2 linked regions of the Sus scrofa genome follow. The protein of the gene in region 1 purifies or fractionates together with the protein of each later gene. This does not show direct contact. Links are inferred from orthologs where the notes say so. Each region holds a gene or a part of one and is shown in the gene's direction. Other genes may lie near its edges. The genes, in order: MCRIP2 and ATXN2.

Region 1 (15,531 bases):
CGGAAAGGACACCTCCCTCCATGCCCTGCAGAGGGGAGACTGCTGAGGACCAGCTGCTGAGCCAAGAGGGTGCAGGGAGACTAGCAGGTGAGGCACACCCAGGGCCGGCTGGGGCGGTGCTGCCAGGGGAGGCCCAGCTGGGGCAGGAGCACTCACCCCGTAGGTGATGAGCACAGCCTTGGGTTTAAGCAGGTGTCCTGCTGCTCTGAAGAGGCCCTGCGGAGGTGGGAGGCCAGACAGCAGTGAGGAGCTGTCCCCGGGATCCTCCAGGAGCCCTGGGCTCAGGGCTGGAGACTCAGCCTGACCTCCCCGCACCCGCTCCCGGCCCGAATGGCCTGCCTCCCATACGTGCCAACCTGGCACCTAGCTCCCTCCCAGCACATCGCTTCGGCAGGTGGCCCCTAGGTTGTGTGCCCACAGCCCCACAGACCTCGGTGCAGCTCAGGGGGCTGATGTGGATCATGTTGATGCAGAGCAGCAGGTCCAGTGATCGCGGCAGGATCCCACCCCACTGCTCCCAATCCCAGGTCACGTCCAGGTACAGCGGGGCCTTCACGTTGGTTAGGCCCTGGGCCAGAGCCGTGGCCGAGATACTGCAGAAGGGCAGCCCGTGGGTGGCAGTGGCCTGGGCAGCCTTTCTGAGCCCCTGCACCCCCACTCAGGAGATGCTTGGAGGAATCACAAAGGCATGCGAACCATGGCAGCGGGACGGGGCCCACTTTCACCCCCGGGGTCCCGCCTTCCCGCCACACCTGTCCAGGCAGCGCTGATCCACGTCTGACGGCTGCCACTCGGCGTGCGGGAAAGCCCGCGCGAAGTGGGCTGCATGCTGGCCGGAGCCCGAGGCCACCTCGAGCACGCGGACGCCGCGCTGAGTCGGGTCCACATACTGCCGCAGCACGTGAAGGATGGGCTCCTTGTTCCGCTCGGCGGCCGCCGCCACCAGCATGGTTTCAGTCCTGCGGCCTGGGGCCCTAGTGACGATGCAGTCCCGCGCCGCTGGGCGCGTCTGAGACCCGCCCGCCGCGCAGCCGCCGCCCGCCCCACCCCGGGAAAATGAGCACAGGCGTCGCGCCTTAAAGGGCGCGCAGCGCGCGGGGGCTTCTGGTGAGGGTCTGGGCTAGAGTTTGGGTCATTGCTTTGCAGGAGCCCAAAAGCTCAGCACCCTCTGGCCGTGGCTGTCCTAGCATTTTCATAGAGCTCATTGTTCCAAAATTGTCTTGTTCGTGTCGCACCAGAATGGATGCTTCTCTCTCGTCTTTTTTTTTTTTTTCCTTCTCTTCTTCATTAATCTTTTTAGGATCAGAGTCCATTTTTTGAGATGGTGGGAAAAAAACACCGGAGAAAGAAAAGCCTGCGCCGCCCGGGAATCGAACCCGGGTCGCAAGAATGGGAATCTTGCATGATACCACTACACCAGCGGCGCTGTTGCTTAAAGGTTTCTCCCAGAGACTTAGGAGATTGTGACGCAAATCCCCTCCCCCCCTTCACCCCGCCGAGCCGGCTCCGCTCGCGCAGAGACATCAGAGTGCACGCGCCTCCGCCGCGCCCGCAGCAGGAGCAGGAACACCGGGCTTGACCGGGGATCTCGCGGTACCGTTTGGGCACCCGGCCCTCAAGGAGACGGAGTGGGGCTGAGGTTTTATGGACGCCTGGAGCGGCGTTCGCGCCTTGAAAACCATGGCAACTGAGGCATTCCGGAAGTTGTGAGGGCGGGGCTTCGTGGGTGGGCGGGTCTGTGCTTGGCAGGGCTCACGGGTGGGTGGGGCTCTGGACGGGGCGGGCCCGACCTGAAGGAACTGAGCTTGCGCGGCTCCAGGGTCTGTGACGCTGAGGTGACCCGCGCGCGCCCAGGGTTTTTCGCCGATGCTGCGAGGGGCCGGCGACCTCTGAGTCAAGGGGGAGGCCGACTTGTTGTGTCCAAAGATGCTTCGCTGCTCGGCTTCTCGGGGCCCAGGTCTCAAGCAGGCTGTTGACAGGCGGAAGGCCATGCCCCGCCGTCGGCGTAGCTCCTCTCCCTTGCTGGGCGTTTTTTCTCGCACGAGACCCCCGCCTCGCCGCAGCCGCCGTCGCTCCGGCGAGCGCTCTGTGGACGGCCCCCGGGATGGGCCGTGAGCCTCGGGTTGCTGTCAGGGGGGCGTGCAGGGTGGCGACAGGGGCCTGTGAGCGTGGTCCGACCGGGAGAAGGATCTTGCAGCTCAGGGAGGTGACGCGCTGTGGGGGTGGCCGGTCTGGACGCACCTCCGGGGACGGTTCCGCCCAGTGGGCGGGCTTCCAGGCCTCCGGACCGCGCCTTTGGCCTTTCTCCTTAAGGCCCTTTTTCCGGCTTTCCCGCTTCAGGGCACTGAGCTCTCCAGACCCTTTCCTCACCCTCCGCCTCGCCTCCCGTGTGTTGGCCGAGCACCTTGTCTGTCTCAAGGTGGAGACGAGGTATCCCTCGGTGTGACTCCCTGCCCACTGCTGATGACCCGTGGTCACCTGAGGCCTCAGCACCCAGGTCCCCCAGCCCTCCTCGCCCCCTCAGGAGGCACCAGATTTCCTGGGGGCTTCACATGGCACTCTTGGGCATGGGCCATGCTGTGATATTGTCATAGAGTACGAATTAGCTATTCGGCCTTTGTCCTGGCTCCTGGGACAGCGCTTTGAAAATTCTGGAGACTTCCCGAGTGATGAGATTGAGAGGAGCAGAGTTCCTGTCTTGCTCAGTGGGTAACCACGAGGGTGCAGGGTCGATCGCTGCCCTTGCTCACCGGGTTAAGGGTGAGCTGCCGTGCCGTGTGGGTCGCAGACTCGGCTCGGATCCCGTACGGCTGTGGCTGTGGTGTAGGCTGGCAGCTGCAGCTCCACTTCGACCCCTAGCCTGGGAACCTCCATAATGAGATGGGTATGGCCCTAAAAAGAACCAAAAAAAAAAGAGGAGGGGAGGGGCCTGAGACCCACAGATTTCCTTGCTTCCCCCATGTTGTGTGGGCTGCTTGAGGAAGTGGGCAAAGGCCCAGCAGTGTCTTCCATTTACCAGCCCTGGACCTCAGGTGGCCCTCTGCCCGCCACCCTCGTCACCCTGGAGGCATCGCTCTGGACTGGACACTGTGTGACCTGACGCACACCTTCCACACTCACGGAGCTCAGAGCCTGGGACGGGAGCAGCTGGACACGGCCAAGGGGTGAGGCTCTGGGAGCGTGTGCGTGAACACATGCTTGTGAGCATGTGTGAGCCAAGGGCACACGTGTGAGCACACATTTTCTGCAAAGTCCTGAATGTGTGTCAGACTCTGGGTGGGTCCAGGTCTCTCCCGAGGGACGCTGAACATTGGGCCTGGAGGTGCCCCGCACCCGGGCTGTGCTCAGTGGCACCTCCTGGGGGTGTGTCTCCTGAGGATCGTCCTGGGCGCCGGAAGTGCCCTCTCCCCTAGGCGCACTCACCTCCCGAGGGCTGGGGACAAAGTCCCCCGTTCTGCCCCATGATGTCTGGAGCCAACAGTAGGGCCCGGCTTCTCTCCTGAGGTCCAGGCCTGTGTGCCCACCATTCCTGAGCCTCCTCCAAGCCCCCAACGCTTCCCTCCATTCCCTCACCCGCTACCCCATCCCTCAGTCTCTTAATTTCTTAGAGTTTCTGTAACAAATGACCTCAACTTTTGATGGCTGAAATCAAAAATGTATTGGGAGTTCTGTCAAGGCGCCGTGGAAACGAATTCGACTAGTAGCGAGAGGATATGGGTTTGATCCCTGGCTCTGCTCAGTGGATCAGGGATCCAGTGTCGCCGTGAGCAGTGGTGTAGGTCACAGACATGGCGCAGATCCCGCGTTGCTGTGGCTATGGTGTAGACCGGCAGCTGTAGCTCCGATTAGCCCTCTAGCCTGGGAACCTCCATATGCCACGGGTGCAGCCCTAAAAAGAAAAAGAAAAAAAATGATGTTGTCTCAGTTTTGGACGCCAGAAGTTCAAAATAAAGGCGTCAGCTCCCTCAGATGGCCCTACAGGAAGCTCTTTCGTCACTGCCTCCTCTTCGGGGTGGCTCAGGCATTCCTGCGTTTGGGGCCACCTTGCTGTAGTCTCTGTCTCTGTCTTCTTCATGTCTCTGTGTCCAGTACCTGTCTCCTTTCTCCTACAAAGACATTCATCGTTGGGTTTAGGGTCCATCCTAACCTTGGATGACCTTATCTCAAAATCCTTGCTTTAATTATATCTGCAAAGACCGTTATTCCAAGTCAGCTCACGTTCTGAGGTTGGGGACAGTGGCTCTTTTGGGGGCTGCCATTCAACTCACTGCACGTGGCAACGGGAAGGGGCAGAGCGAGCCCTTGAAACTGAGTGGTAAGTGGGGGAGTCTTTTCCTGGGGCCACTGGTCACTCTTCATTGGCCGAAGCCCCTCCCCCAGTGTGGCGTGGCGAGGGCATGGCTATGAGAGGGTGGCTGAGGATGGCTGCAAACGTAAACTTCTTCCTCCTTTAACTTGAAAGGTCAGTGTCATATGGAGAGGCTTTTAGAAGAGAAAAATAGGGAGTTCCCATTGTGGCGCAGCAGAAATGTACCTGACTAGTACCCATGAGGATGTGGGTTCGATCCCTGGCCTTGCTCAATGCGTTGGAGAATCTGGCGTTGCCGTGAGCTGTGGTGCAGGGCGCAGACACGGTTCAGATCCAGCGTGGCTGTGGCACTGGCTGTAGCCCTACGAGGCTGTAGCTCCGATTTGACCCCTAGCCTGGGAATTTCCATATGCAGTGAGTCCAGCTCTAAAAAGAAAAAAAAAAAAAAAAAAAAAAAAGAGAAACAGTATATATTTTTATAATGATAACTGGGGTCTGAGTAAGGCTGTTGCTTCCTGGGACGCCCACTGTGTGTGCCTGTGGGTGAGACCTCACCCTCCCGCCCAGCTGCCCCTGCCCCCAACTCCAGCTGGGTTCCCAACTTCTCTGACGATGAGGAACGTTGCTGGCTGTACAATTCTGCCTCTGTGGTGGCTTTGCAGGCTGACACGCGGTCTTGGCTTGTGCAGTCCAAGGAAGCCAGGCTGGCCTGGGGTTCCTGTGAGAGGAGCTCTTGGCAGCAGGTCGATCCAGACCCTGACCTCACAGGGCTCTGGCGGGGCCCTCCCCAGGCCAGGGCAGGTCTGGTGCTCAGAGCTGGGTCCTGGGAGCTGTGGGGCAGGGAAGGCCCCTCAGCCCCACAGCCCAGGCTTTGCTGCCCCCACAACCTGGCCTTCTTCCACCCTAGTTCTCCTTGCCCCTGCTCAGCGCCTCTTGGGGACCAGTGGATTTTCAGTTCCACCCTACCCATCCCCTGCCTGTCCTGCCCCCCCACTCCTGCCACGTGTCACAACTGGTCCTGTTCTGCTGGTCATTCCTGGGAGCCCTTCCAAGGGTTCTGGACCCAAACTTTGACCGCAGACAAGGCTCATGGGCAGGGCTGGGACCGGAGGGCCTTGCAGCCTTGGTTTCTAGAAGATCTAAGCAAAGGCCAGGCCTGCCCGCCCATCCACCGTCCCTGTCCTGCCCCTGATCCATGCTGGCCTGAGCAGGTGCCAGGAGAGGAGGAGCTCTCAGATCAGCTTGCGGGGGAGGTACCCCCCCACCCCAGGACCTGGCTCCTTCTGCATTGTGCCCGAGGCCACCAAGGATGCCAGAGAGCCAGTACAGATGACGCAGGACAGTGCTGGCCTTGGTGTGACTGGGGGCAGGGACCAGAGGTGGGCAGGGAGGGGCCAGATTGGCCAGGGGTGTGCTCATACCTGGACCCCCTGCATGTGCTCTCCCTTCTCAGGGTCCCAGGCCTAGCCCAGCTGGGGAGGGGGTATTACCCTTGGGCAGGACAAGACGGAGAGCCCAGGGCCCTTGGGAGCACATGAAGGGAAGGCCAGCCCGGGCACCCCGGGGATGCAGGCTTCCCTGCAGGTGCTGGAACAGCTCGGTTACCCCCGCCAGCCGCACAGGTGCATGGCGTAGGTGGGGGGTCTCCTCCTGCTAGCTCCCCAACCCACTCTTCCCTGCGGTGTACACTGTCCTTATGGCCTGGGCATTGCATGGGAGGGAAGGACCCGCTCCAGCCCCTGCCTCAGCCTCAGCCCTGCCTGGGTGGAAGGCTTCAGGCTTGCTCTGACAGTGGATGTGGGGGAAGCTGGACTCTGTGTGCTCCAGGAACTACTGGGCCACAGTGCTGAGGGCAAGCCCCCTTGCCCCTGGGGCAGCGGCTCCCAGCCTGAGACGGAGCGCCATCGGACACCCCAGGCTCTGGTGCTGGCCCGATTGAGCCTCCTCAAATACTCCTGGGAGCAGAGCAGGGGCTCCGTGGGACCAGGTGGGCACACAGGTCTCAGAGGCCGATGCCATAGCTCTTGGACAAACTGGTCACAGTTTGGTTTTTAGGGGGAGGGGGCCATTAGGATTGATCTCAACCACACAGAAGCATGCGTGCCTCCTGCAGAGCACACAAGGCCCTCAGCCTCCCAAACCCAAGAGTGCTATGCTTCCGAACCTCCAAGCCAGGCTGCTGTGGGGAGAGCTTGGGCAGCCCTGAGTACCAGTGCTGAGAGCAAGGGGCTTCTCCATCTAGTTCCTAGGAGGCAACCCTGTGGGAGAGCCTGCTTGGAAGGGGCTGCCTGGGAGATTAGGGCCCAGTGGGAGATCTGGTTCCTGGGCCTCCAGGCTCCTGACCTCCTCCTGGAGGTCAGGGAGGCTGGGCCCAAGGCACTGTCCCTGCTCAGAGTCTGCCACTCAGCCCAGCACTGCCTGGGCAGTCTGCAGGAGCCAGTGCCCCTTCTCCCCTGTGGGTGGCCTCAGCAAGCTGGGTGGCCTAATCCACCTTCTCCACCTGAGGATCCAGCCCCCAGGCTGCTCCTGGATTGGTCAGGGGTCTCCACCCTCCATCAGCAGGGCACACTGAGCCAGGATAGGATGCACTCCTGGCTCTGGACCCACGGGGTGAAAGAGAGGCTGCCAGAGCAGACACATTTCCGCCCAAACCTACAGGGCTGACACCCCTTTTCTCATCTCTGATCCCTTCAGTCCGTAACTGGACTCATCCTGGCCCAGGCTCTCCCAGGCACCTCGGGGCAGGGCCTCCACCCGTGCTTCCAGGGTGGGCACAGATCACCCCCAGCGTCTGTCAGCGCTCTGGCTTCTTGACCTCAATGCTGACCCCACGTCTGGGTGCCCGGGGGCGGGAGGCCCAGGCCTCGGGGAATTTACTCGGCCTTGGCCTTGGGTCCGAGGGGCGGGCGCGGTTTGCGGTTGCCCGGCCCCGCCCCTCGGCCTCGGGCCTCTCGGCGGGAGCAGCCCGTTTCGCAACGGCGCGAGCACCGCCCCGGCCGCGTGCCTCCGCGCGGGCCCTTTAAGGGCCGGGGGTGTGTAGCGGGCCCGCCCCCTGCCCGCGGCGCCGGCCGCCCGTTAAAGGGGCCGCACCTTCGCCGCCCGCCAAGTGCCAGCCGGGCGGAGGGCGAGAGGTCTGGCCGCGGGACGGTGGGCAGGGAGGGCGCGGGCGTGCGGCGGCCCCTCCGCACCATGTACACCATCACCAAGGGACCCAGCAAGCTGGTCGCGCAGCGCCGCACAGGTGCAAGGGGGGGCGGGTAAGGCAGGAAGGGGGCGACCGGGAGGGGGGGGTCCTCACGCTGTCCCCGCCCCGGCGGCGGCTGACGCGCCCTCTCCGTGCCCGCAGGTCCCACGCAGCAGCAGGTGGAGAACCGGCTCGGCGAGCTCCTGAAATGCCGGCATCCCGCGCCCCCGACCCCGCAGCCCCCACGGACGCAGCCTCCAGGACCCTGGCCCCTGTCAAGGTGAGACGCCTGGCCCCTGCCGCAGCCTGCCTGCCCTTCCCCTCCCCCGCCGGCCGCCGCGGGGCCCGGAGGGTGACCTTGGGGAAAGGTTAGCGGAGACCGGGCCACATGCTCGGGACGGGCGCCGAGGGGGCGGAGCGTGCCGACCGGACCCGCGCTTGCAGCTCCGGCTCGGCTTCTCCGCGCTTCCGCCTCACCTGGCGCCTGGCTGGGTCAGAGGGGGCTGGGCGGGATATGCGTGACACCCACCCCTCCGAGCCCTGTGAGACCATAGTCGGGAGAAAGCCTGCGGTTGAATCAGGTGCCCGGGTCGACCTTGGCCTGCGTGGCTTGAGAAGAGCTGTCCCGGGACTCGCCCCGGAGGGCGGGAGCAGGGTGGTCCAGAAGGCGGGCCCGCAGGCAGCCTGCCCCTGCCCCGGGGCGGGGGGCTGCCAGCCCTAAGCTTGCAGGGCAGGCGGAGGAGAGGTGCAGGTGGTTCCTTATGGTCCTGCCAGGCCACTGCTCTCCTTTGCCCTTCACCCACCCCACCCCCGCGCCCCGCAGATGCTCGGGGTTTGCTGGAGTTGTGGGTTTTCCTCCCCTTTCTCACCAGCACTTTTGCCAAAGGAGGCTCCGTTCAACCACTTTGGCATCCAAGTGACTGGAACCCGGAGGTCCGTTTCCCCCTCCTCCAGGGCTGAACCTTTACTTTTTAGCTCAGATCCTGGGCTTTGGTTTCACTCATTCTCTGCTGTCTTGGGCCCAGGACTTTGGTCCAGGCCCTCACCGGCCTGAGGGCTCCTGTGCTGGGCTGTGGCTGGATGAGGGCAGCAGACTCAGGGCCCTGAGGCAGCGCTGCGGGGGGGGGGGGCGGTCTCGGCCCGGGATCTCCTTCCACGTGGAGGACGAAAAGCTTCCAGGGTGGCCTAAGAGGGCAGGGGTGGTGTGCTTCTGGCCATCCTCAGCCTGCCCTTCCCCCTCGGTTACTGGCCTTCGATGCCGCAGGTGGGGGCAGCTTGTGAGGGCCCGTCTCGGCTCAGGCTCTTCCCAGGGGCCTCTTGCTGGGAGCGTGTGGACCCTCTGAGGCTGGTCCTAGCGAGGAACATGCTGCTGGCCAGCCATGAGCACCTCTTGGGGAGGGCTGGGGGTGGGACCTTGGGGGGCCCGTCCCAGGGCCTGGGCTGTGCAGGGACACTGCCCTGTGACATTGGCCTCAGTCCGCATGGCCGCCCTACCGCCCAGGGGAGGGAACCAGGCACGGGTGTGTTGCCCTGCTCCTCTGCCACCCAGGCGGGGAGCCCCCCACTCTCGTACATGGAGAAGCCTGTTGCTCTCTCCGCGGCCCCTCGGCTGGGGAATAGGGAAAGCAGGGAGCGTCCGCAGTGGTCAGGGTGCTGGGGAGAGAGGGGGGAGCCAGCTCCGCGCCTGGAAGGTGCCACCCTGCTCGGGTCTCTGCCCTTCGCAGTCTCTGAGGTGCTGTATTCTGCCGGGTGCGGGGGCAGTGGGAAGACAGCAGGGTGCTGACTGCACCATCGCCCCGTCGCCCTGCGGTCACTACCTTCCCTGAGCTGCCTCTTCCTGTGCCTGGAAGAGCCCCTCCCTGGGAGACCAGAGCAGCCAGCAGGTCCACAGGCCTCTGAAATCACTGCACCCGAGCTTCCTGTCCACTCTCCCTCCCCCAGACCTGCCTGGGAAGAAGGGGTCCGAGCCTGGTGCACCATGGATGCTCAAAGTATCTGACCTGTCCTGTGGTGGGACTCAGGCCTTTGCGTCTGTGCCCTGTGGCGGTGGCGAGAAAATAAGACCTCAGGAGGTGATGTCTCCTGCTGGGGAGGAGAGAAAGTGGGGCCCTGTGACCACCTGATGCTGCAGGGAAGCTGTGCCGGGCCGTGGGGTCAGACAGACACACAGTTAAGTTCCGGCACTGCCAGCCACTCACTGAGTGTGACCTGGGCCTGGTCACTTCCCTCTTGAGCCCAGGCTCTTGGGCTGACAACATGCGGGTGGTCTACCTTGGCAGGAAGTGAGGGGGACGAAGGAAGAGGATGCCCCAAGCAGAGACAGGCCGTGGCCATGGGAGCTGAGAGCTGGCACGGAGGGCGGGGCGGGCCGGACTGCGGACTTGTCTGTAGGTGCACAGGGGAGCTGTGCCCTCTCCCCCAGAGGACCTGCAGTGCCACCTTATGTAATGCCAGCAGGGAGTGGTGAGCACCTGATTGCTGGGGCACCTTCTCGGCCCAGCTGGGCCACCACCTCGGCCCTTGTGAGTGGCAGCCGCTGAGCACAGTTCTTTTTGCCCCCGTTGATGTGCACAGTTTCCTCGAGGTTGCGGCCTTCCAGGGATAAGTGTGGCAGGCCAGGAGCTGTTCAGTCGAGGACAGGCGTGCATGCCCTCTGGTTGGCATAGTTCAGGCCCGGGAGGAGCCCTGGCTCCCTATACTCTCTGTGGCCACCCAACCCTGCCAGCCCGGAGCTGGCAGGACCGGTGCCCCTCAAGACGCTCCTCTTTATTTTAGTGCCCCTCTCAACCGAGGAGGAACCCCGAGCGGCGGTGGGTGCCTGAGCCCAGGATGACGAGCAGGCCGGCGGGACCGCGAGTGCCTGGCGGAGGGGCACGTGCAGCCCAGGACTCCCGGCTCCCTCCTCCTGCTGTAGGTGTGGGCCCCGCTCTCTCCACGGCCCTGCCCCGGGCATCGTGTGCGCAGGGCTGGGCCAGTTGCTACAGGCCCGGGCAGCCCATCGATGCCCCGGGCCTGGCTGACCGGGATGGGTCCTGTGGCCACCTGGACATCGAACGCCCACCAGGCAGAGCTCCTGCACTCAGGGCGTTCCTGCACCCACGGGCAAGAGCCTAGCCCTGGCCTGGGGCCTGCAGGGCTGGGCAGGGATTGCAGCCACACCCTCGTGGCTCAGGTTGGCCCGCTGAGCACAAGGAGGAGCCATCCCTGGGGCCTTGTCCCCGGGGCAGCTGGGGGTGGGCAACGGCTGCCAGCTCTTGCGTGACACTGTGTCATTAGATGGAAAGGCTTCTATGGGGGAGAAGGTGACCCAAGAACTGTGTCTGCTGGGTGGCACTGGGCCGAGCACCCTGTGCATTCAGGTCAAAGGCTGGGCTGGTCCGGGAGAGGCAGGTGGCAGAGGAGGTGCCTGAGAGCCCCTTGGATGGGTGCCAGGAGCTTGGAGCTCTGCTGGGGGTCTGGGAGAGAGTACTCCCCCCACCGCTTCAGGCTTGCTTCAGGGCAGGGGGGCTGACTTATGAGCCAGGCTGCTGGGGTGCAGGCCTGCTGGAGAAAGGCCTTGGTCACTGGCCGCAGCACGCAGCTGCCCTATGTTCAGGGAAGTGCCCGGGCTGGGCCTGGCCTGGCTGTGGTTGGTGTGGCCTGAGGCCACTCCCGGAGCTCTGCCAGGTGGCACTTGGGCTTAGAACAGTGGCTGACTGTCTCCTCCCTGTTCCTGCAGTCCAGGGCCGAGGCTCGTGTTCAATCGGGTGAATGGCCGGCGGCCCCCTGCCACATCCCCATCCCTCGAGGGATCCCAAGAGACCTACACACTGGCCCACGAGGAGAACGTCCGATTTGTGTCCGAAGGTAGTTCTGAGGCCCAAGGGTGTGGCCTGGGCCACTGGTGATCTTTCCACTGTAACCCGACTCACAGCGGCCGGAGGGCTGGGCCCTGTCTGGGCTCTCTGCCTCTTCGTCCTGTGACCGTCCAGCAGGCCACCCACTCTCAGATCTGGGCTGGGGTCCAGGGTGGCCACTAGGCCCCCGAGTAGGAGACAGGGGGCCAGGGGCCTGGCTCAGCCTGACCACCCTCTCCCCACAGCCTGGCAGCAAGTGGAGCAGCAGCTGGGTGGTGGCCCAGCCGGTGAGAGCGGCCCGAGGCCTGTGCAGTACGTGGAGAGGACCCCCAACCCCCGGCTACAGAGTGAGCCCTCCCCCGCCCTCAGGGGGTCCCATCCACCTCCCACCGGACCTGGCTCAGCCAGGTCCTATCCCCGGTGGGGTGGGAGGAAGACTGGAGTCTGACCCGACTCTTCCCAGCAGCTCCTACACTTGGGCTCGGGGTGCGGGGCTTGTGGTGGCTCCAGGGGCAGGCGCTGGTTGGCCAGCCTTCTGCTTTCCCACAGACTTTGTGCCCATCGACCTGGATGAGTGGTGGGCACAGCAGTTCCTGGCCAGGATCACCAACTGCTCCTAGCTTCCAAGGAATGCTGCCTAAGCAGGGCCTGGCCCTGCCCCACACTGGACCCTCTGCCAGGAGAGGACCACGGTGCCCTGCTCACCCACTGTGGCAGGCCAGGCTTCACCCTGGCCCTGGCCAGGCGCCGGCCACACCTGAAGTGCCAGCATTTGGACTTTTGCACCTGCTGACCCCTCTGTCCAGCTGTTCCAGGCTGCCAGGGGCTGAAACTATCTGACCTCAGTCCTGCTCACTGTGCCCTGGGCCAGCCCATGGGGCTGGCAGGGAGGAGCTCCAGGCTAATAAAATTGAGAAAACTGCCCTTTGGAGATGTCTTTTTTTGGTGGTGGGGGTAGGGGGAGTTGTGTCCCAGCCCCACCTCCCCTGTGGCCCCATCTCCCCACCGCGGAAGCCTTGTCCCGCTCTGGCCCTTGGCCTCTTGCGAGCTGCAGTCCTGTGTCCAGAGCCAGGTTATTTTGCACTGAAGTCTGTGGACACCACCCTGCCCCACCTGACACCCACTTCCTCTTGTCTCCTTGTTGGTCTTGGCCGGTATCTGAACCTGGCCTCAAGACCCAGCGGTGTCACCTGTCTGGCCCTAGGAGGGTCCCAGCCGCCCAGAACTGGGGTCAGGGCTCAGGATGCCTGATGCTGCCTCTGGACGCCCCAGGTCTTGGTGGGGAGCCCAGGGGCTCCCGTGGGACACTGCTGTGCCTGTGGACCACTCCAGGTGTGGATGCCACCTCCAGAGAGTTAGATAGCAACAGAGGAAGCGGGGAAGGTCCCTGCTGAGGGAGGGCAGCCCGCAATGGCTCATTCCTTACATAAAGACGGGCCTAAGAGAGTCGGGAGCCTCCCCCGGTCCCACAGCTGGTGGTGCTAGAGCACCGAGGCTCCCGACTTGGGACTGGCCGCAGAGGCCAGGTTGGAAGCGCCTGCCCGAGGGCGCAGCAGCGGAGGACAGATTACGGCCTGGCAAGGTGTCGGGGCGCCCGGGCTCCCACCGCTCCAGCCTAGGTCAGGCCCCGCCCCCGGCAATCACGTGCTAAATGCCCCGGCCGCGCCGTCACGTGTTAGGACCCGCCCCCGAAGCGCGGTCTCGTGCCCTGAGCCCGGACGGCGGAAGCGGCGCGGTTGCCAGGCGGCCGTTGCTAGGTACGCACTGCGTGCCCTGCGTGGGGCGCGCGGCGGCAGAGGCGGGAAGCGCGAGCTGCGGCGCCATGGCGCGAGGTAGCTGTGCGTGGCGGGAGGGTCGGGAACTAGGGGCTGGGGGCCGGGGGCCGGGGGCCGGGGGCCGGGGGCTGGGCTTCTGGGACCCGAAGTCAGGCGCCGCCGTGGACAGGTTGCCGCTGAGACTCGCCCGGAGCCCGGTCCGCGCGCTGGGCTCGCTGTCACCCCTTGGCCCCCTCCCTGGACCTGAGGAGGGTCTGGCCCCTGGGGGCGGATCCTGACGCGTCCTTGTCCCCAGTGTGGCAGCACCCGTTTCTCAACGTCTTCCGACACTTCAAGGTGGACGAGTGGAAGCGGTCCACCAAGGAGGGCGACGTGGCCGCCGTGACGGTAAGTGGGCCAGGGCACCTGGGCGCGGAGCAGGAGCGGCGGCTTCCGTCCTCTCTCCCGGTGGGGCGCTTTGCTGCACCCACGCCACCCCACCCCGCCCCGGTGTCTGTGCGGGACGCCTTGCCTTCGTCTTTCCCCAGGACAAGACCCTCAAGTGCAGCGTGTATCGCGTCCGGGGCTCTATCTCTGCCGCCAATTACATCCAGCTCCCTAAGACCAGCACCCAGTCTCTGGGGCTGACTGGACGCTACCTGTATGTGCTCTTTCGGCCCCTGCCCACCAAACATTTCGTCATTCATCTGGATGTGGCCACCGAGGTGCTGAGCTGGGGAGCTGGGCGGCCTGCGGAGGCCCTGCCCTTCTCCTGCAGGCGAGCCTTGTCACAGGTGTGCTGTGTCCCCACAGGACAGCCAGGTCATCCGACTGTCATTTTCCAGTCTCTACAAGGAGGTTAAGTCTACAGCCACGTGGCTTCAGTTTCCTTTTGTCTGTGAACCTGGGGCACCCAGGAAAGGTAACACACAGAGGAGGCATCTGAGGGACACGGAAGGTCTTGGAGAGGCAGCCCGAGGGGCCAGGGGGAGGTGGGTGGCGGGCATGGGGTTGGGAGCATGGGTGTGGGGACATGCCAAGGAGTGCTGCGGGCTGTCTCTTGAGAGCTTAGGCACTGACTTTGGCTGATGTCCAGCAGAGCTGGCCGGTGTGGCCCCCCCTGGCACCCGCTGGACCTGCCTGCAGCTTGACTTGCCGGACCTCCTCCTGGTCTACCTGAACCGGCGCCACAGTCACCTCAAGAGCGTCAGGCTGTGTGCCAGCCTGCTGGTCAGGAGCCTCTACACCAGCGACCTGTGCTTCGACCCTGGTGAGGGCTACACCCTGCGCTTAGCCTGCGGCCCACCTGCTCTCACTCTCTCTGCCTTGGTCTCCGCATCTTTGCTGGTACTTGATGGACACACCTCCCGCCGCAGCATCTTTTGAGTCTGCCAGCTCCTGAGACAGCCTGGGGGCGAGGTGGTGGTTGGGCTGGGAGAGGGAGCTAGGTGGGCACCCCTTCACGTGGAACACCCCTGCTTCTGGTAGCTGTCACGGTCGCTGAAGCCCGGCGTGCGAAGCTGTCGGTCACCCCCATACCTCGAGAGATGGCGTTCCCGGTGCCAAAAGGGGAGAGCTGGCACGACCACTACGTCCACATCCGGTGAGTGGCTCTGCATGTGCTGAGGGAGGCCTGGTGGAAGGAGGGCTAGGCGGCCCTGGGAAGCTGATTCTCTTTCCACCAAGGTTTCCGAACGACCGCTGGAAAAGGCCGTCCGAAACGGTGCAGGGGGGCTGTCCCCCTCCCGAGGCAGGTGAGCCTGTGGGGCAGCTTGGACCCGGGTTCAGACCCTCAGGCCCATGGAGTTGGTGGGACAGGGGGCCCGAAGCTGCACCAGGGGAGGCAAAGCCAGCAGTGTGGTCCCTGAAGGTGGAGACTCTGTCCCAAGGTCCCAGAGCCACTCGGGAGGTTGCGGTCAGGGTGCCTCCTGGCTCCTAGCTTTACAACTGGGAAGGGGTGCCAGGGTCCTCGGCGGGGGGCTGCAGCTGTTGGTGCAGCTTCCCTGCTGCCGGGTAGGCAAGGCCAGGGCCCACTGCTGCCCCAGGCAGGCCTCGCTGCCATGTCTTCACGCGCTGTCTGTGCTCTGCTCGCTGGGTTCTGCGACCCCTTCACCGTTGCGGTCTTAGCTGGGCTTCCCACTCAGCCGGCGACCCTCAGCAAGCCTCTGCAGGACAGCGCGTCTCCTGTGGCCCGGAAGCGTGGCCCCACGGCGGTGAGTGCCCTGTGCCCTCGGAGATGGGGCTGGGGAGGGTGGTCCAAGCGGCTGACAGGCTCTTGTTCCCCCAAAGTCCCACCGGGCCTCCTTGGCGCCCAGCCCCCTTCTAGACGTCAGCCTGTCCTGCCGGCGGTCAGAGAGCTCCAGCGCAGGTGGCCCCAGTGGCCGTAGCCACAAGCCTGGGGCCCAGGTAGAAGCCACTGACGAGCACGCAGCCGGTGACGCCCTTCAC
Region 2 (14,899 bases), on another chromosome or scaffold:
ATAGCTGATGTTTCAGAAAGCTAAAACTAATATAGTAAATAATCCGATTCCTGAGTTTTGTGATTTATTGTGTGAAATTATCTAGTGTATGTTGTACTCCTTTTAACAATTGATTACCGAGAAACAGTTATAGAAGCAGGATTAATAGGCATAGTCTTAACTGTCTTCTTCAATAGTATGTGTAGATCCTAATTAACCCTTTGGGAACGTGTGTTCATTTAAACAGAATTTTAAGGAGGTTAAAGTAAAATGTGAATTTATGTCAGTTAAGTTATGCTAAAACTTATCACAAATCAAATGACTGTCCTCAAAGGGTTAAAATGTACAAGAAATCATTTTTGTCATTTTACTTTTTTTTCTGTTTACTTTTTTTCCCTCATTTTTTTCTTTAGTTTTTATACTTTCCTTCATATCATTTGTTCTGTCAGGTGTTCCCTGGCCATCGCCTTGCCCATCTCCTTCCTCTCGCCCACCTTCTCGCTACCAGTCAGGTCCCAACTCTCTTCCACCTCGGGCAGCCACCCCTACACGGCCGCCCTCCAGGCCCCCCTCGCGGCCATCCAGACCCCCGTCTCACCCCTCTGCTCATGGTTCTCCAGCTCCTGTCTCTACTATGCCTAAACGCATGTCTTCAGAAGGTACAATACCACAATTTGTTCATGTTTTTGTTTGTCTTTGTTTAACTCCTATGTGAGTTTATAATTACAAAATAGTTTCCTCTTCATTATTTAATAACCTATAATTTCCGTGTTTTAACTTTAGTTTATTAAAACTATTTCTATTAACCTTTTGTTCACTAGAGAGAAATTTGATAAATGCGTGTGAAGCGATGAATTATCTTGAATTGTAAGAATGGGGGTTTAATCTCTGCCTGGTAATGATGCTACTGCTTTATAGCCCAAGGCCTTCTCCCTCCCACTTTATAATGTATGTAGTGGTTAATGGTAAAACGTGAACTTTCTTCACCAGTCTTGGACTTACTGTAGAGCCTGTCATTTTATAGCTCCCTGCCAAGGTTACTCGTGATTCTGCCTGTTGGCCAAAGGCAGGAGTGGTGATTTAAAGGTCCTTTTTGAGAGGGACATTGCATGTAGCTGCCCCTGTGTGTTTGCCCATAGATGACAATACAGAGTTTCATTTTGTGTTTGGGAGTTTTAAAAAAAAAAAATTAGCTTTGTAGTATTTTATTGTGTAATATTTATTTAATCTGCAAGAAGTCCTTGATCTAAGATAAAACTGTTAATAAAAACAATGTATGAATCTTTAAGGGTCTTTTTACCCTTGTCAAAAAATAAAATCCTGGAGTTCCCGTCGTGGTGCAGTGGAAATGAATCCGACTAGGAACCATGAGGTTGCAGGTTCAATCCCTGGCCTTGCTCAGACGGTTAAGGATCTGGTGTTGCTGTGCCTGTGGCGTAGGCCAGCAGCAATGGCTCTGATTAGACCCCTAGCCTGGGAACCTCCATATGCCGCAGGTGCAGCCCTGAAAAGACAAAAGACAAAATAAATAAATAAATTAAATAAAATCCTGTAATTCTCATTCAATGTTTGATGCTAAATCCACCATTGCTATATATCAGATACATAGATGTGTTGTAGAAAGGTCACATTTTTATTTAAATGTAGTGAATAAATTAAAAACCTATTTTCTGAATGATAATGGCCTTTGATGTTATTGAGAGCATTTGATATTAAAATTTTAATCTGATTTGTTCATTAAAATTGCAGGTAATATTGCTTATGTTGAAACTGATACAGTTTTCTGGCATAAAGTGCTTGCCTAGAGAAAACATGTTGCCTGCTGTTTAATAAATATTTGCCATCTAGGCAGGGAGGTCATGTGATCCTGACTAAAGAGGCTAACCTTAAACAGCCCATTGCACTGATTTTCAAGGTTACTTCCCTACTCAAAAGTGTCTGTGATGGTGGCTTCTAAAAGAAAAGTTTAATTCTGATGAAGTATTTATTTGGTCTATTATTTGCATAAGTGATGTTCATATCATGAGAATATGTTAGATAAAAGCAAGACTCATTAGTGAGTGTGAGCTTGTTCACCATGGTTAGATAGAAAGATTCACGTCAGAGTATACCTTCTGCATATTCAGGGATGCTACATTATTCACTCTTTATTTTTAACTAATTGAATGAAAATAGGTTTTCTAGTTGTGTAGTTAGGTGACACTGAAGTATTTTTAAAATGTAAACTTCAAAATAAAGCTATTAAATATAATGGTTTTCTGTATTCAATATAGGGAATTATTTTGTTTCTGCAAGTATTTTACATACTGCCAAAAAGACTGAATTTTTTAAAGTTAAATTCTAACTTTGATTTCATTGAGCTATGCCAACCATCTTTCTTGGTCTTTTTCTATAAAGGGATATAAAAATATGTATAAATATGCAAATACCCAGTTCCTAATTCAATCTTCAGTATAAATTGTATCTTCAGTTTAAAATTATATAACATTAACATTCTTAAGGTATGTCCATGATTGAAGTACTACTAAGGACATAAATGAATTTGACAGTTTAAAGAGTTTGGCAGCAAGGTGCCAGTTCAGCAGCTTTGGCATTGACATTAAGAATGAACTTTGGGAGTTTCAGTTATGGCTCCGGTGTTCCCATAGGCTCTCGTGTAGGTCACAGACGAGGCTTGGCTCTGGTGTTGCCGCGGCTGTGGTGTAGGTCTGCAGCTGTAGATCCAATTTGACCCCTAGCCTGGGACTCCATATGCCACGTGTGTGGCCCTAAAAAAAAATAAAATAAAAAAATAATGAACTTTGCACTGTCAGTGATAGTACAAAGCCTGACAAGTGTTAGCACTATCAGGCTTCTCTGGTAAGAGCCATTCTGTCCACTGTTTTCACCTGATGTTTTGTTTGAATGCACAGTAGACTTCTTTAGAAATAGAAATCGCTAATGGGGTGACAGAATTGATGTGGAATTTTGACAATTCATATAGTGCAGATTTCTTCCCCAAGTGTCAGTTACTCTAGTCTGCAAGTCCTGCCTTAAAACCAGTAGAATTTTTAGCTCCCAGACTGTTAGTTAAGACTGTTAAGTCTGAGAAACTGCTTACAAGTGAGGACTGCTTTAAGATATGGATTATAAAATTGATCATCATGGCAGAAAAGGTTAATAAATTAAGGTTTTAGAGAAATTAAGGGAAATTTGAATATAATCCTTAGTACAAAAATGTATTGAGGTTAATAGTTTTCTCTTTAAAGAGTTTTTTTCCCTGGAGTTCCCTGGCAGCTCAGCAGGTTAAGGATCATCAACATTGTCATTGCTGTGGCTCGGGTCACTGCTGTGGTGCGGGTTCCCTGGCCCGGGAACTTCTGCATGCCACCTGCACAGCCAAAAAAAAAAAAAAAAAGATACTCTAAAAAATATATTTTTCTTCTAATTTTATAAGTAATGTATTAAAGAAAATTTGAAGGAAAAAGCTAAAAGTATGTGGTAAAATAAAGATTATTACATCATGTAGCTATAACCTTTATAAATGTTCTATTATTTTTATATGCCTATAAATTATGGACATAGAGTAAACAAATTGCTAAAATCTTTGCAGAGTTATGACATCTCACTGTTTGATTTCTTACTGCCTCCTTCCCTTTCTTTAAAAATAAGGAAAATAAACTTTATTGTTAAAATTTTATGTCATTCCACAAAATAATTCTGAGAGTATGGCCAAAAATGTAAATGGCGTTTGTTTTCTTTTTTTTTTAACCAAGAAGAAATGGGGGGGGAAGGGGAGAAATGTGTGTGTGTGTGAGAGGGATAAAGAAAAAGAATAGGGTGTGTGTATTTAACAGAAAAGTAGTACTGGTGGACATTGTGGCATTTATGTGATGTTCACTGTTCCTTTCTTAGGGCCTCCAAGGATGTCCCCAAAGGCCCAACGACACCCTCGAAATCACAGAGTTTCTGCTGGGCGGGGTTCCATTTCCAGTGGCCTAGAATTTGTATCCCATACCTCACCAAGTGAAGCAGCTGCTCCTCCAGCAGCAAGGACTAGTCCCGCAGGGGGCACATGGTCTTCAGTGGTCAGCGGGGGTAGGTAACACTTGGCTTAAAGCATAATATCAATGACACTTTGTTATTATATTTGATGTAAAAGGGCTGAGCTTGAGCTCTGTTTGAGGAAGTCTAAGTGTATATATTTAAAATAGTAGAGTAACCAGGAATTTGGAAAACAGTTTTTATTCTGGGTTCTACCACTTAAGTCACCATATGTTGGAGCAAATCAAGTGATCATTTTGAATTTCAGTTTTCTCAGTGAGTAAAGTAGTTTTTGCCTAGTCTACTTTAGGGTCTTGTGATGAAATTCATATGGGGTTCATAAATATGAATATATTTTATTATGGTTTTATAAAGGGCCACTCAAATGGGAGGCAAATACAGTGCATAACAATTTTTGGAGGGGATCACATTTCCTGTCTTCTTAGAAACTTGGTTCATTGATTCCACATTTATTTTGGGCTTACAGGCTTGCAATGCTATGTGTTTCTTTTTTTTTCCCCCATTCATTCATTTGAAACATTTTTATTGAGGTTTTTTTTTTTTTTTTCTGTCTTCTTAGTGCCAAACCCATGGCATATGGAAGTTCCCAGGCTAGGGGTTGAATTGGAGCTGTAGCTGATGGCCTTCGCCACAGCCATAGCAACGCATGATGCAAGCCGCATCTTCGACTCAGCCACAGCTCATGGCAATGTCAGATCCCCAAGCCCACTGAGCAAGGCGAGGGATTGGACCCATGTACTCATGGATACTAGTCTGGTTTGTTAACCACTGAGCCACTATGGAAACTCCCTATTGACACTATTCTGGGCCGAAGTGCGGGATCCAAGCCGAGTCTGCAACCTACACCACAGCTCACGGCAACACCGGATCGTTAACCCACTGAGCAAGGGCAGGGACCAAACTGGCAACCTCATGGTTCCTAGTCGGATTCGTTAACTACTGTGCCATGACGGGAACTCCCTATATATCCTTTTTAAGGATTAACAAACACAAGGGCCCAAGTTTTATCTGTGACCAGCCTGAAGAATGTGCTGACAGCAGCTATAAAAATGTAAAAAGTGTATACTTTGATAGGACCTTACAATTAGGTTAAGATTGCTTTTGCTACTTAATGTTTTGTTTCTATGATAACTAGAGTTGGAGCATGCAGTGACATAATCTATCTTAATCAGTGCATGGAACTTTTAAAAGAAAAATCTTTAAACTGAAACAAAGAAAAATATACCCAACTCCATTAAATGTCTTTAGTTGATATACATTTCTTACTTTCATGTAAGTGTAATTTTATGGTAAATTCCTTTGAACTTTCTATTTTTCTAATTTGGTCTTCAGTTACAAGGAAATTATTCAGTTGACAAAAAATAGTTTCTAAAATCTTAATTTCTTCTGTGTATCAGTAATTATTTGACAGTATTCAGATGATATGGAAATGAATTTTGAAAGTAACAACATGATTATAGAAGTGAAAGAGTAGGGAGTTCCCTTGTGGTGTAGCAGGTTATGGATCCAGTGTTGTCACTGCAGCGGCTCGGGTCATTGCTGTGGTACAGGTTTGATCTCTGCCCAGGGAGCTTCCATATGCTGTGGGCCACCCCACCACCACCACCAAAAAAAAAGAAAGAGGTGAAAGAGTAAAATCATAGTTGTTAATAGATACACCCAGCAGTATTACAGGTTTGCTCTTTATACTAATCAGAAAAGTGACAGTTGTTGAATAATAGTTTCCTTCCATGACCCTTGTTACTTAGGGTGAAGAATCACTAAAGTGAAGCAAATTGAACTATTTCCTCTAAATCTTTGAATCTGAATAGGTTTATATAAAATACGAAACCTATTAGATACTCATTTTGAAGTTATGTGGAATATGAACTCTTCCTTGGATTATCTTCCCCTTTGCCCTAATTTGAGTTTCCAGTTTCCTTAGTTACTGAAGAGTGGATTTTGCTGTGGTAAATAAACTGCTAAAATGTGTTTATTATTTGAAGGAGAAACAAATAAGCCTACGTCTTAGGGATTCTCTTCCCCTCCTCCACACATGTATTTTAAAGAAACAGTCTCACCTTTTAGTAGAGAATGTTGTTATCTTTATCCTAAGAAGTAGCACTTGTCCTTCCTTAGAAATCCAGTTTTTAACTTCATTTAAAACACTGCCTTTTAGAATTCATATATTTAGTTAGGAGGGAAAATGACTGTTGTACATGGTTATTAGTAATTGTTTTCATTCTTCAGATATTTATACTTTGTCGTCACCATTATTCCTGAGACTTTGGAAAAGAAAACAGGTGATGAGATGAGTAATTGGGAGGTCAGATAGAACTGTTACCTAGATCTTTCAGAAAAGCCTTTTTGATGAAGCGACATTTTAGCTGAGGATATAATGGGTAACTTTTCTCTTTCTTGTAGTTCCAAGATTATCCCCTAAAACTCACAGACCCAGGTCTCCCAGACAGAATAGTATTGGAAATACTCCTAGTGGGCCAGTTCTTGCTTCTCCCCAAGCTGGTGTTATTCCAACTGATGCTGTCCCTATGCCTTTACCAGCTGCATCTCCTACGCCTGCCAGTCCTGCATCCAACAGAGCTGTTACCCCATCCATTGAGGGTATGTAAGAAAGGGCTTCTAGATCCATGATGTCATTGGTGAAATTGAATTTTAGACATTTAACATTGTGTGAAAAATGGTTATGTTGTTTTATCCATAGGTAAGTATTTGATGGCATATTAAAAATTTTATGTAAATAAAGTTAGTTGTTTAAGTAATACTGCTAATTTCAGGAGTTCTCATCATGGCTCAGCAGTAATGAACACAACTGGTATCCATGAGGACACAAGTTCGATCTCTGGCCTTTCTCAGTGGGTTAAGGATCTGGTGTTGCTGTGGCTGTGGCGTTGGCTGCCAGCTGCAGCTCCAAGTCAACCCCTGGCCTGGGAACTTCCCATATGTAGCAAGTGTAGCCTGAAAAGAACAATAAAAATAAAACCTGCTAATTTCATATATGTTATTCTGAAAGTTTAAGAGAGTTTACATTCCTGGGTAGTAAATAACAATATAAGTAAAATTTATTAGTGGAATTTCCTGGTGGCCTAGCACTTAAGGATTCGGTGATGTGGCTCAGGTTTCTTCCCTGGCCCAGGAACTTCCATATACCATAGGAGCAGCAAAAAAAAAGAAAAAATATATTTCATATGTCTGCGAAGTAGGAAAGTCTCTGTTTAAGTGGAAATATTCTTTTCCAAAAACACAGGATCAAATGGTTGAGTATTTTCCAATTTTACTTCTATAGCTTCTATTAACCTTTTTATATAAAATACTGTTTTCTAGCTAAAGATTCCAGGCTTCAAGATCAGAGGCAGAACTCTCCTGCAGGAAATAAAGAAAATATGAAGTCCAATGAGACATCACCTAGCTTCCCAAAAGCTGAAAGTAAAGGTTAGAGCTTTAAAAAGTCTTTAGGTATATCTGTAGAAATAGGAAGGAATATGTCTAATCTGATGCCCAGTACATATTACTTTTTTGGTCAACACTTTAATTTCTTAGTGTTGTGATATTTAAGTGCATAATTTGACAAATGTCAAAATCTATAATATATTGAAAGTTTTGTTATTTTGGATAGAGGTTATTTTTCATTTCCACCATCCCATCCTAAAAAAAATCTTAAAGATTAGAAATAAATCTAGGAGTTGTCCTGTAGTACAGTGAATTGAGGATCCAGTGCTGTCACTGCAGCAGCTTGGGTTGCTACTATGACACCAGTTTGATCCCTGGCCTGGGAACTTCCACATGCTATGAGCACAGCCAAAAAAATTAAAAATAGAAAAAGAAATCTAGATCTAATACTTCATATTTTTACAGGTATATCACCAGTTGTTTCTGAACATAGAAAACAGATTGATGATTTAAAGAAATTTAAGAATGATTTTAGGGTAAGTATTGTATTGACTAATGAATTAGAATTTTTAAAACAATTTTTTAAATATTACTAAGAATTTTTATATCATCCATTTACAAAAATGTATTTTATATGTATACCCAGAAACATCAAACCATATTTGTAGAAAGCTAAATATTCTTAAGTTGTCTGTGTGTGTGCTTTAGGTAGAGTAACTAAAATCATGAGATTTAATAAGAACAATATAGCTATTAAATGAAAGAGAATGTAATTTTCATATTGGAAGTCATCATAAGTTATTACTTCATGTTCATTTGATTACTTTATTCAAATATGATAGAGCAAAGGCAAAAGGCAGCCTTTTCCTAGCCTGTGTTCTACCTTCCTAAAAATTAAGTTTTTGCTTGATAGCTTCATTTTTGACTTATTGGCAGTATTCAAAATATTAAATGTTGTTTCATACTTTAGCACATTTATCTGGTCATCTTTAATGCTATTAACAGTTGTGAATTTAAATTTTTTTAAGCTATAATTAATGCATGGACATGATAAAAAGAATAATAACTGAATGCTCAGATGGTTGCTACTCAGCTTACTTAATATGTCAAGCACTCTACTATAGTTAAAGTCCTCCTGGGTACTTGCCCACCTCAGCTACATCCTTCTGTAGGAGTGAAGGATTTCTTTCCTTGTAATTCTTTACACTGCATATAAGTAGATTCCCTAAGCAACAGATGATATTATTTTGCATCATCTTCAACTTAATATAAATATGTTACAGGTGTTCATGCCCATTTGCTTTTATTTCCTCAACATTATTTTTTACACCCAGTCCTTCATGCCCTTAGAGTAATACATTTGCATGAATTTATTACATTATGAAGGAAAAAAATTGTTTTTACTTTGAAGCATATAAGATAGAATGTTTTTGTAACAGTTTTATTGAGGTATAATTTACATATGGTTTAGTCATTTAAAGTATAGTTTAGTGGTTTTTTAGTATATTCATAGAGTTGTATAAGCACCACATAAGCCCTTAGCAGTCACTTCTCATTTGCTGTCTTTTTTTCTTTTTTCTTTTCTTTTCTTTTTTTTGTCTTTTCTGTCTTTAGGGCCAAACCCACGGCAATATGGAGGTGCCCAAGCTAGGGGCCTAATCGGAGCCACCGGCCTAAACCACAGCCACAGCAACACCAGGTCTGAGCCGCGTCTGCGACCTACACCACAGCTCAGGGCAACGCCAAATCCTTACCACTGAGCGAGGCTAGGGATCGAACTCTCAACCTCATGGTTCCTAGTCAGACAGAACTCCTCATTTGCTTTCAAATACTTCTCCCCACCCCACCTCCACCCTAAGCCACCACTAATCTACTTTTTGTCTTCATGGATTTGGCTGTTCTGGACTTTTCATATGAAAGGAACCATACAATATGTGGCCTTTTGTGGGTGGCTTTTTTTCTACTTACTGTTACGTTTTCAGGGTTTATCCATGTTGTTGGGTGTGTCAGTATTTCTTTGCTTTTTATGTGAACTCCATTGTATAGATAGACCACGTTTTATATATCCATTCATAATCAGTTGATGCCTTTTCCTTCCCCCTTACCCCTCTGGTAACCATAAGTTTGTTTTCTTTGGGGGAGGTGCTATACCTCTGGCGTATAGAAGTTCCCAGGTAGGGGTCCAGTCGCAGCTGCAGCTGTCAGCCTACACCATAGCCACAGCAACACAGCATCCAAGCCACGTCTTTGAGCTACACCACAGCTCACAGCATCTGGTTCCTTAACCCACTGAATGAGGCCTGGAATTGAACCTGCATCCTCAGGGGTACTAGTTGCATTGTTTCCGCTGAGCCACAACAGGAACTCCCAAGTTTGTTTACTTTTTTTTTTTTTTTTTTTTTTTTGTCTTTTTTCTTGGGCCGCTCCTGCGGCATATGGAGGTTCCCAGGCTAGGGGTCGAATCGGAACTGTAGCCACTGGCCTACGCCAGAGCTACAGCAACGCAGGATCCGAGCTGCATCTGCAACCTACACCACAGCTCACAGCAACGCCGGATCGTTAACCCACTGAGCAAGGGCAGGGACCGAACCCGCAACCTCATGATTCCTAGTCGGATTCGTTAACCACTGCGCCACGACGGGAACTCCCCAAGTTTGTTTTCTATGTCTGTTAGTCTATTTCTGTTTTGTAAATGAGTTCATTTGTATCAATTTTTTTAGATTCTACATGTAAGTGATATCATGTGATATTTAGCTCTTTCTTCATATAATAATCTCTAGGTCCATCCATATTGCTGCAAACGACATTCTTTCATTCTTTTTTATGGCTGAGTAATAATACTGCTGTATATGTGTAACACATCTTCCTTATCTGTTCATCTGTCAGTGGACATTTAGGTTGCTTCCCTGTCTTGGCTATTGTAAATAATCCTGCTGTGAACATTGGGGTGCATGTATATTTTATAATAAGAGTTTTTTCTAATTATCTTTTGTGGATATATGCCCAGGAGTAGGATTGCTGGATACACGGTAAATCTGTTTTTAGTTTTTTAAGGAACCTTCATACTGTTTTCCACATAGGCTGCACCAGTGTATATTCTGAGTAGTTTTTTTTTGTTGGTGGTAGTGGTTTTCATTAGTTTTTTTTTTTTAATGTAGTGTTAGCTGGGGTTTCAAATTCAGTCTTTTGCATATGGGTAACATTTGCCACAGCACTGTCTTTTGAAAAGACATTGAATTATCTTTGCACCTTTGTTGAAAATCATTTGGCCAAGTGGAAGAGCTTATTACTAGACTCGGTTCTCGTCCATAGATCTCTATATATCTATCCTTTATGGCAGTACCACACTGTTTGAATTAGTGTATTTTTTTAAATGCTTATAACTTCTTCATTTAAAAGAAAACATTTTGGCTCTCATATTATCTGTTCACAACTTTCTGTAAACCTTCTTTAATACTTGACTCTTAAATTCCAGGTAGTTGCAGCATTATATTGCTATCTCTTTGGGACTTCTACTCTTAATATTTTGGGGGAACCTGAAAATGCAAATGTATTATTAAATTTCTTATGAACAGCTTAATCATCTGTAAGTGAAATAATAGAAAGCAACGAAATGATTTGATTTGATTTGATTGTCCTTTTTTTTTGGCTTTTTAGGGCCACACTCGAAGCATATGGAAGTTCCCAGGCTAGGGCTTGAATCAGAGCTACAGCTGCTAGCCAGCACCACAGCCACAGCAACTCGAGATCTGAGCTGTGTCTGCGACCTATAACACAGTTCATGACAGTACCGGATCCTCAACCCACTGAGGGAGGCCATGGGTAGAACCCGCATCCTTGTGGATACTAGTCAGATTGTTTCTACTGCAGCATAGTGGGAATTCCTGTCTTTATTATTTTTGTTTTTTTCGGGCTGCACCTGCAGCATATGGAGGTTCCCAGGCTAGGGGTCAAATCAGAGCTATAGCTGCCAGCTTACTCCAGAGCCACAGCAACACCAGATCTGAGCCATGTCTGCCACTTAAACCACAGCTCACGGCAACAGTGGATCCTTAACCTACTGAGCAATGCCAGGGATCAAACCCACATCCTCATGGATACTAGTCAGGTTCGTTTCCACTCCGCCACAACAGGAACTCCTATTTTGGTTCTTTAAACATGCAATCTCTGGTGTTCCAGCTGTGGTAAAATGGGTTAATGATCTGGCTTGTCTCTGAGGAGGCACTGGTTTGATCCCTGGCCCCGGCACAGTGGGTTAAGAATCCAGAATCCTGCAGCTGTGGTGTAGTTCACAGCTCTGGCTTGGATTCGATCCTTGGCCCTGGAACTTCCATATGCTCATGGACAGCCAAGAAAGAATAAAACAACAAAAAACATGCTGTTTCTTTTGCTTGCACTAGTATTCCTGTTTTGGAACTCCACACCTGCCTTCCTCCCTCAACATCTTTCACACTTTAAACTATATGACACTTCCAAAGAAAAGCCTTCTCTTTCCATAAATTGCTTTTTCCTACGGCATCTTTTAGCACTACCCCAGTTGTTGTTTGTCTATTCTCATCCAGATGGTAAACTTTGGGAGGATAGGAACTATTTCGCATTTCTATGTCCTACATACAGAATTTCTGACACATGGTATGCACTCCGTAATTTTTTTTTTAGGCTAGGACATTTGCGTGCTTACATGACTAGTTACTGTGTATAGACATACTGTTATTGTTGCCTTATAATGAAAACATTATTCATAAAGTATGAAAAAAGCTTTTAGTATACTCATGCCTACAAATACTAGTTTTGCTCATGGAACAAATTGATTACTAGACTAATTTAAAATATTTAAGTATAATTATTTCCTTTATTTAGTTACAGCCAAGTTCTGCTTCTGAATCTGTGGATCAACTGCTAAACAAAAGTAGAGAGGGAGAAAAATCAAGAGATGTGATCAAAGACAAAATTGAACCAAATGCTAAGGATTCTTTCATTGAAAATAGCAGCAACTGCACCAGTGGCAGCAGCAAGCCGAGCAGCCCCAGCATTTCCCCTTCAATCCTCAGTAACACGGAGCACAAGAGAGGACCTGAGGTCACATCTCAGGGGGTTCAAACTTCCAGTCCAGGGTGTAAACAAGAGAAAGATGATAAAGAGGAGACGAAAGATGCAGCTGAGTGAGTAAACCTGGAATTTAGCACATCCTTCATTATTTTTTCGTAGGGTGTCCAGAGCCTTCCAACTCTAGAATTTGTCTAGACTTTTAGACTGCTTTATAAGTAGCCCTCAATTTATAACTAACTGGCAATGAGATCTTAAGTAAATTAGGTCATTGCACCCTATACTTTTCTTCTGTCCACTGCTTTTGCACTCCATGGCACAAAAAATCCTATGCATACATTAAGAATGGCTTTTTTGGTAAATATACAAATAATTGAAAAATTACTGGTTTTTGGAAAGCTTCCACTGTGGTACAGGTTCTGTCCTGGCCCAGAAACTTCTGCATGCCATGGGTGCAGCAAAAAAAAAATTACTGGTTTTTGGGACCAATATCCCTTAGATGCTGGTCAGTACCCACCTTTTGGCTGTGCTGCTAGGACTAAGAACTGTCGCTAGAAGTACCTAGTGCCCCTACTTGGAATTTATTGTATTTTCCACCAGAAACAATGTTCTAGGAGTTCGCGTTGTGGCTCAGCAGTTAATGAACCCTACTAGTATCCATGAGGCCTTGGGTTCAGTCCCTGGCCTTGCTCAGTGTGTTAAGGATCCAGCGTTGCCATGAGCTGTGGTGTAGGTCGAAGACGTGGCTCGGATCCCAAGTTGCTGTGGCTGTGGTAAAGGCTGGTGGCTATAGTGCTGATTCGACCCCTAGCCTTGGAACTTCCATATGCTGCCATTGTGGCCCTAAAAAGAAAAACAGACAAACAAACAAACGGTGTTTTAGTTAATGGTTGGATTTGTTAAGACAGAATTCATTCTGACACCTGAACCTAACCCAACATTGTAAATCAACTAAACTTCATTTGAAAGAAAAAGAAAAAAAGATGGAATTAATTCTGTACATCCAATATATTGCCAGTTAAATGGGCTTTTGTGAGCTAGCCTTAGAACCTAATTACGCACAATCTATTTATTTGTTCTGGCTCCATACAACCCAGTTATAGCTGAACTTTTGGAATGCACCTTGTTGATAAGTAGGGAGAATTTTTTCTTGACTTGAGGCAAAAATTTTTATTGAATTCATGATTTTTCCCAAGATATTTCATGTAGGAAACACTTTGTCAAATAAAAAAAGTATTGCATGTTTTATAATTGGTATATTAAGGATTGCTTTTAAGGATTTTTTGTAAGGGGCTACTGTCTTTTCTGTTTAAATTCTTGTTGATTGCCTTTGAGATAAGTTTTGCATATTACACTTTATAAAAATTTTGTTCTTTTTTTGACTAGTTATCAAATTAAAGAGAAGTACGTGTATGTGTATGTGTTTCATGAAGGAAACTAATGATCTTCTAGTGAGAATTGCTTAGATGTTTAGCAGTTAAGAAAAAAAACTGTCAGGTATAAAAGACTAGAGAAGCATAAATTCCTTGCAGATTTCACTGGCCTTTATTTTTTTCTTCTGGTATAGGCAAGTGAGGAAATCAACATTGAATCCCAACGCGAAGGAGTTCAACCCTCGTTCCTTTTCTCAGGTAAGTTTCTCTCTCTCTTTGAAGTAATCTAGTTTTTTAAAAAATTATTATTACTCCTTTTCCCACACCTGCCATCTAAATTCAGTTATAGTATGCTAAAACAACTACTAGTTTCTTATGTAGCAATTAATGAATATTTTTGAGCCATAGAAAAAAATTCCTAGTTTTGTCATCAATTAGATATGATCTAGGTCAAATCTTTGAATCCTTTCTGATTCAAAATTTGAAGATGATTGGCTTACTAGGTTCTCAGGTTCATAGATGATACTGTTATTATTCTCCTGACTTTGTAAGAAGATAAGGTTTATTTTTAATTTTTTAAAATACTTTCTCCAGAAGTTCCTGTTGTGGCTCAGTGGTTAACGAATCCGACTAGGAACCTTGAGATTGCGGGTTCAGTCCTTGGCCTTGCTCAGTGGGTTAAGGATCCAGCATTGCCATGAGCTGTGGTGTAGGTCGCAGACGAGGCTCGGATCCCGAGTTGCTGTGGCTCTGGTGTAGGCTGGCGGCTACAGCTCCAATTCGACCCCTAGCCTGGGACCCTCCGTATGCTGCGGGAGTGGCCCAAAAAATGACAAAAAGACGGGGAAAAATAAATAAATAAAACTTTCTCCAGCTGCTTAAAAATCACCTCTGCTGTTTTTAATAGTATTGTTGATTAAAGTTAACATTAACTTGCTACGAGCATATTTTTTTCTTTAACTTGAAACACATGGAAGTTTATTTTCTATTAGGTATTTTCATTAAGAGGGCCTAATTAAAAGTGAGTAAAACTAAGAAAGATGGGGGGAGTTCCCATCATGGCTCAATGG

The links.
Region 2: the proteins of MCRIP2 (region 1) and ATXN2 purify together in Homo sapiens (co-immunoprecipitation; 3 studies listed by BioGRID and IntAct, with this or other methods). This does not show direct contact. The link is inferred for Sus scrofa from reciprocal best matches to the Homo sapiens genes MCRIP2 and ATXN2.

The regions. Positions count from the first base shown.
Region 1 is NC_010445.4:41,119,759-41,135,289, reverse strand, and holds MCRIP2 (MAPK regulated corepressor interacting protein 2), read left to right. Parts: upstream 1-7,377; 5' UTR 7,378-7,498; coding exon 7,499-7,550; exon of another isoform or gene 7,551-7,566; intron 7,567-7,655; coding exon 7,656-7,773; intron 7,774-10,268; coding exon of another isoform or gene 10,269-10,407; intron 10,408-11,211; coding exon 11,212-11,339; intron 11,340-11,574; coding exon 11,575-11,676; intron 11,677-11,878; coding exon 11,879-11,949; 3' UTR 11,950-12,253; downstream 12,254-15,531. Other genes in the region: METTL26 (UPF0585 protein C16orf13 homolog), read right to left, coding at 157-216, 431-593, 753-949; WDR90 (WD repeat-containing protein 90), read left to right, coding at 12,981-13,161, 13,400-13,491, 13,632-13,808, 13,897-14,005, 14,180-14,353, 14,572-14,686, 14,770-14,837, 15,133-15,296 and 1 more.
Region 2 is NC_010456.5:32,699,035-32,713,933, reverse strand, and holds part of ATXN2 (ataxin-2), read left to right. Parts: intron 1-392; coding exon 393-638; intron 639-3,873; coding exon 3,874-4,056; intron 4,057-6,426; coding exon 6,427-6,624; intron 6,625-7,344; coding exon 7,345-7,452; intron 7,453-7,875; coding exon 7,876-7,946; intron 7,947-12,270; coding exon 12,271-12,572; intron 12,573-14,023; coding exon 14,024-14,087; intron 14,088-14,899. UniProt on the Homo sapiens protein: Involved in EGFR trafficking, acting as negative regulator of endocytic EGFR internalization at the plasma membrane.